2 linked regions of the Xenopus tropicalis genome follow. The main gene of each other region encodes a partner of the protein of the gene in region 2 in a complex. Links are inferred from orthologs where the notes say so. Each region holds a gene or a part of one and is shown on either strand. Other genes may lie near its edges.

Region 1 (3,571 bases), about 3.9 Mb from region 2:
AGTGCACACCTGTAAATGTATGCACCTGGCCTTATCTGCCTGGCCCTTAGCGGTAAATACTTAAAGGGGTTGTTCACCTTTTTAGAATGTAGTAGAGAGTGCTACTCTGAAACAATCTGCATCTGGTCTTCATTTTTTATTTGTAGTTTTTGTAATTATTTAGCTTTATATCCAGCAACTCTCCAGTTTCAAATTCTAGCAGCTATATGGTTTCTAGGGTCCAAATAACCCTAGAAACCAGGCAGTTGTTCAAATGAGAAGCTGGGATACAAATAGGAGAGGGTCTGGATAGAAAGGTATGTAATAAAAAGTAACGCTAACCGTGAAACTAGCCTCAAAGAGCAATATTTTTTTGGCTGCTGGGCTAAGTGACCCCCATTTAAAAGCTATAAAGGGTCAGAAGAGGAAAGCAAATATTAAAAAAAAAATGAAGACCAAATGAAACGTCGCTGAAACTGTATCATACATACTAAAAGTTAACTTAAAATCCATCAGAGAAAAAGGGATTTAATTGGTGTCATATAAATTATCATGTCAGCAGTGCTAAGATTTGTAGTTTAACAAGGGCTTCAGGTTGTATATCCCTGGTATTCCGACGTCCTTTTAATCTTTGATAAACATAAGCATCTGTTTGCTATAATGGGTACTTAACCACAAGCAGTTAGGATCCATTTAGAGCTGTACTACTATGCTTTGCATTTTATTGGTCTCCAGGAGATCATTTGATTTCATAAAATGTCTAGCCTATCAAAGCTTTGACCGCAAAAAAAGCCTATAAGGCCTATGACAGATGGGGTGCTTTACTGTCTGAGAAATCTCTTCTCCTGAAGTGCCTGAAAATACCTGCCCCTCTGCAACTTGAATTGCCAGGTATTTTTGGGAGCTTTGTTACCTGTGGAGAGAAGATTTCCTGCAGGCGATTATTTGCCTTATCTGTCCGTGCTCTAAGGAAAATTTAAAGCAAAACAACAAGTATTGTATGAGTGGCAGTCTTGTACATGGCAGTGCCCACGGCCTGCAGAGAGAAGACATACAGTATTAAATCAAACAGCTCTGAACTGAATTTCCACACAATAAATAGAATACCAATAAGATAAAATAGGGCTGGCTCGGATCTTTGCACATGATTCTTAACAGGTTAATAGCTCAATGGATTTGTGTAGAAAATAAGCAAATTTCATTTATGCAGTGTAAATTATCCACATCAATAAATGCACATATATTGTGTTCTAGGCAAACCTTTACAGCCCATTAAGAGGGAATTACTCCGACACAGAGACTATAAGGTGGATCTGGAGTCCAAGCTGGGAAAGACCATTGTCATTACAAAGACCACTCCACAGTCTGAAATGGGAGGGTAAGTAGCATATAATGTGCTAAGGACAATGTTGACTCAACTATAAATGTAATCACCATTTAAAAGTTGAGGTACAACCAGGTTATGTCTCATTTGTGGTGATGGAGAGTTGGAGTCAACAAATGCACCAGTTTATAGAGCTACTCATGCGCACTCCTATACCTATGCTTGTGCTTTAATAAACTTTCAGTTTCTTTTTACTGATGCAATGTGAGTTGGAATGATATTATATTATACCCCCCCCCAGCAGCATATCAACAAGTGATGTGAGGCTAGACATGTTTTTACTTTCCCTAGTGCCCCCTTGTGATTTGTGCTCTGATGATGAACTTCAGTCACTCTTTAGGGTAAGAACACATGGAGCGAGTTCGTCTTCCATGATAGATCTCTGCTAACATCGGCAACTAACCACTCCGAAAAGGCTTTCCGCCAGCTGAAAGCCCTTTGCATTGCTTTGGTAATCCGAAGTTGCACTAAGTTTCCTCCTGCAGGCGACTTCGAAAAACAAAGCAATGCAAAGGGCTTTCCAGCAGCAACAATAGAAGTTGCTGGTGGAAAGCCTTTTCTGAGTTAGTTAGTCGCCCTAGATAGCAGCGATTTATTGCGGACGATTAACCGTGGGTTCTTACCGTTACTGCTGCTACTGATGCATAAGTAGAAGTGCCATAAAGGTGGACTTTCACTGCTCCATTTTTGTTACTCTGTGTGCTTTTTATTTAATATTATGTGTTTTAGCTGTGTTGGCCACTGGTATGCCAAGTACCCTGTGTATGGCCTAAATAAATGGGAAATATTACTTGCTTCACCTAAGGCGTTCTCCGTAGACACAGAGAGCTACAATATCTATGAGTGTGTATGTTGCTCTGTTCATCTGAAATCTGGTACATTGCTTAAAAGAATACCCAATTGTAAATGTCTCACACCAATATTTAATCAAAGCAAAGCTCTTATGGCTATGTGACCACTACTACACATTTTGGTACACTTCTTATACCCACAGGTCAATAAGGCAAAACCTCAGAAATCTTTATCAGCGATATCTCCTGTATCAATAATTCTCAAAGAAACAAGAAGATAGGTAGAAGAAGATAGATAGGGCTGCACAAAGTAAGAGCAACATAGACTACACTTGTTAGGTAATGTGGTCACATCAGTATTCTCATGTCGGATACCTTCTCTGTGGTGCCTCAGACCCTTATAATTCTCTGGTACAATGGAATCCACTTTTTCTCTCTTGGGGTGGGTAGGGGGAAACAACTGAGAAGGTGTCTGTGCTGTGAGAGTATTGGTGTTCTCTCTTTCAGTTTACTTAACAATGTACTGTTGTTATGGCATGGAAATTACTATTAATTTGTGGTGCTCTAACCATGCACTGCCTCCTGCTCTTGCTCCTTAGAGATTTATTAGTATGCAAAAAACTGCTATGGGAGGAAGTGAGGAGGAGTGCCCCTTGCATTGTTGTACGGTGGATATTCTGCAGATTTTTAAGAATTTTGCTGTAAGAACTGCACTAAAAGTGCAGTAAATGGTAATAGAACATTCTATGCTCGTTAATCTAAGTACCACTTACTATCTACAGAAGTAAATACATGGGAAAGAACTGATAATCGGAAAAAATCCCTTTTATGGATCTCGCTGCACATTGTGAAATCGTCTGGGCTTATCCCTTTATATAGAAATTGCCTTATATTGAAGATCCCATAAATGAACAGCAATGTATGTGCTATAAAACCAATGTAATGGCTTGTTCCATGACATTTCTGTTGATTTATGGGCCTCTGTTGGACAGCCGTTATAGATTGATTGTTTATTATGTACCGTATCATTAAATATCGATTGTGTCAGCCACAGAGTTTTGACAAGCCTTATGCAGGCTTGTGCTCAATAATTTGCATTCCTCTAGTAAAATCCTTTTAAATGACTCTAAAATGGAAATAAATAGAAATCGGAAGCTTAAGCTTGTTAAGTCCGTAAACCCTTGCATTGGAGAGCCCCAATTTTAGTCATGGCCTCTAGAATACAATAAAATTTTTGTTTGTGTAGAATGTGGATTAGACTGCTCAAGGCTTGTGTGCGCTGCATAGTTGGTCTTTAAAACCTGGTGCTTGACTCTACAGTTGACTCCATTACAGTGCATATATTTAAAAAAAATTTAGAGCAACAACTCTGGTTCAAAACTGGCAACAAATTTAACTGGCTCTATAATCATGAGCA
Region 2 (3,571 bases):
AGCATGGCAACCTGGACTGGTAAAGGTGATCACAATGGTCCTCAAACTCACAATTTCAAACAGAAATAGATTGACCCAAATAAAATTTCTCCATAGAGTATACCGGACACCTTATGGACTAGCTAAAATATACCCAGTTACTCCAGATACCTGCTACAAATGTGAAGTAGAGGTGGGTATGCGGTTTCATGTTATTTGGCAATGTGTCCATAAACAATGCTTCTGGAAGGATTACATTTTATACATACTAGGTTTGATCTCCCCAACATATGCTTAATGGGCCATACTAAGCCTCTCACTGTCAAGACGTACCAGAGATTGTTCTATTTGCAAATGCTGTATTATGCCAAAAAAGTAATCCTCTTAACATGGAAAACAACTAGACCTCCAACCCTGGCCCAATGAGAAAAAAAATATTAATTACACCCTTCCTCTGAACAAGGCAGAATACTTGGCTAGAGGATGCCCAGACAAATTTATAAATGTGTGGGGTCAATGGCTGGACTTTTCTGAGATGGCAGCAGGAGTAGATTAAGTGCAGGCATAGGCCCTGTAAGAGACGCAGACTAACCCTCACCTAAGCATACCTGAGTGATAAACTATGTACAACAGCCATAATGGCCCTGCAATACACTGACAAATAATGTGTAAACCATACAGCTGAAATTATACAACTAGCTGAATTAATTTGCTTCACTGTAAGACAACATTCTCTTTGCTTCATTATAACTTTCTTTCTGTATGTTATTAACTTAGAGCATCACAACAGTTTAGGTTCATGAGCCCCAGATCACATTCCCAGTCACAATCACAGTACAACAGCTCTGAGGCACAGCTAGGGAATTCATCTCTTACAATGTCCTAATATACACATTTTAATATCTTAACCTTGTACTTTTGTATATCTGCTAAATGCCTTAAAGTGGCTTTAAGAGGCTTAACAATATAAAATGAGTAAAGATAAAGTTGACTAGTGCACAGGGTTAGGTTGATGTGTTTACAATGTTCTACCAAGCAAGGGTTTCTTAGAAAGATATATACAAAATGATGTGCCAAACACAAATAGCCGCCGCTTTGTTCTAGTTTATAATCTTAATCGTGCATAAGAAAATATTTACCTGGTCCATTTTACTATAATCCACTTCCTCATCACTGTCCACTGCCATGGCATCCATGCTGTTCAGAGAAAGAATTGGGTGCAAGTTATCTACTGCTTACACGATGCTTAATTGATTTCCACAGCACATAGCAAACAGTTGCTGTCCCATTAAAGTTAAATTAAATTTAGTTTTGACAAAGGTGGTGTGCTAGGTAACGAACCTCAGCAACCACAGTCACAGACATTCATCCCAGATAAGCAGAAACTTACGTGGCTGGGTAACATTCAGCGTAGCTGTTCCACATTCCAAAGAAATCTCCCACTTGCGTGTCTTCATGTTTCTTCAATGTGGCCATTTATTAAAGATCAAATAAAACTTATTCTTGTGTGTCAAATTATGAGATTCAAGATAAAAAAATGGCATAAGTGACGACAGTATATGACAATCAGGGAGCTTCTAATATTAAAGGGACAGTATACCCCTAAAAACATCTTTGTTTAAAAATTAAATAGGACTTTTGCTGAAATCCTTCTGCCTATTGTTTAAATAAAAAAAGAAACAATATTTTCCAATTTTTTACCATTATAAAGCACTAATATAAAAGTTAGGCTATTTTTATTGACCTCCTCCTTTGGGTGACTTCTGGGAAACGTAGCAACGTGTATGCTATCCCACTGGCGATTTACATTCTTGCTGGTGGGATGGCATTGCGCTGAGATTAGTCGCCCCTGGCAATGAAGATATGTTGCGGGGTGACTAATCTCCCCGTCTGCCACTGTCCTAAACAGTGGCAGACGGGAAGATTAAGCCAATTGCTTAGAACTCCCTATCAACCTCCCTTCTTTAGGCTACTGAATACGCCAATAGTAGACGAAAAAACGAGGTTCCAAGCACTCCGAACCTTCTAAGTTTAAAACATCATCTTTATTGATCCATCAAGACACAAAAGCCTAACGCGTTTCGTGCGCGTGTGCACTTAATCATAGGCCTATGATTAAGTGCGCACGCGCACGAAACGCGTTAGGCTTTTGTGTCTTGATAGATCAATAAAGATGATGTTTTAAACTTAGAAGGTTCGGAGTGCTTGGAACCTCGTTTTTTCGTCTACTATTGGAACTACTCCCTTGGCTGCGGGTTCGGGGCTTTGAGCACCCGAACCATTTTGGGATCCAGGTGAGTGAATCCTGATTGCTAAATTGATTTCATTGATTTTCGTTTGGCTTATAACACATGTGTCAGGTCCGGGGTCTTTACACCCGGACCTCACCTTTTCACTTGGTAAATTTTTCTGTTTATAGATGTATTGATTTAGCCATTCTTTATTTTATTTTTATATTTTTCTTTTTGATTTTTTTTGGTTTGTCATAGATTAATTGACTTTATCTTTGAATTTGTTTGGTACTGAATACGCCCCCATACTGTAAAATTTAGCCTACCTGTGCCTGCACCTGAATGAATGAAATACGCTCGGGTGCAGACACATGTAGCCGATATCCGCCAAAAAACACGAGACTTCATATTTTCGGCGGATATAGGCTACATGTGCCTGCACCCGAGCGTATTCCATTCATTCAGGTGCAGGCACAGGTAGGAGCGTATGGCGCTATTTTTGGCAAGCGTTTTTCGTCTTGCCTAAAATATACGCCATACGCTAAGGCTGTGGCATTAGGCTTCTCAGTGGACAGATATTTAATTTTTTCAGCATCTTTGAAGTTCTTTGGGACCAGAAATGACAGGAAGTGCTAAAAAGGAACTGGCATTATATGCTAGTTTAATGCTCATGTTATAAAGGGGTGTATACTGTTCTTTTAACAGTGGAATGATTTCCACAGATGTGAACAGGAAGAACTGCAGGACACCCTGCATTGGCAATAATCACCCAAAACTATATGCCATAACTCTAATAGGACAATACTGCTCAAAAGGAAGTTTGATGTTCTTGGGAGAGGGATGATAGTAAAGAATACGCCAGTTATTATTCATTAGCATCTCACTCGGAGTCTGCACACATGAGAATAAAAAAAAGTCTGATATAGTGTAAAGTAATACCAAATATTAAATAAATGTGTTTTTAGTGGATAGAAAAACCTATATTGGACAACATGTCACACTCATTGGCTGCTCATTATATCAATGATACAAACAAAATACTGTTCATTTTTGAAAAGGATATGATTCTACTCCCTCCCATCCAGGAGCACCAGCAAAATTCTCATTGATGGATTTTAGAAGGTCCTTGGTAGATCCAGGTCCTGTAAGGAATGGACAAAAGTTTAGATACAAGGTTTCAGGAGTTACATGTTAAAAAACTTTAGGCGGCCAAATTGGGCAAAGATTGCCAGATTAGCAGATCTAATTGTGTAAGGCAGCGCTGTCCAACTGGCGGCCTGCGACCCCCCTCTGTATGGCCCCCCACCTGTCTGGCTGCTTTGATGGCTTACTCTTGTGTAAGCTTTAAATGGTATCAGTAC

Evidence for each region. The genes of interacting proteins can lie anywhere in the genome.
Region 1: ik (region 2) and zmat2 share a complex: the UniProt entries of both Homo sapiens proteins name them as parts of the spliceosome B complex. The link is inferred for Xenopus tropicalis from reciprocal best matches to the Homo sapiens genes IK and ZMAT2.

The regions. Positions count from the first base shown.
Region 1 is NC_030679.2:26,873,137-26,876,707, forward strand, and holds part of zmat2 (zinc finger matrin-type protein 2), read left to right. Parts: intron 1-1,233; coding exon 1,234-1,357; intron 1,358-3,571. UniProt on the Homo sapiens protein: Involved in pre-mRNA splicing as a component of the spliceosome.
Region 2 is NC_030679.2:22,987,800-22,991,370, reverse strand, and holds part of ik (protein Red), read right to left. Parts: intron 3,353-3,571; coding exon 3,274-3,352; intron 1,448-3,273; coding exon 1,370-1,447; intron 1,177-1,369; coding exon 1,119-1,176; intron 1-1,118. UniProt on the Homo sapiens protein: Involved in pre-mRNA splicing as a component of the spliceosome. Auxiliary spliceosomal protein that regulates selection of alternative splice sites in a small set of target pre-mRNA species. Required for normal mitotic cell cycle progression.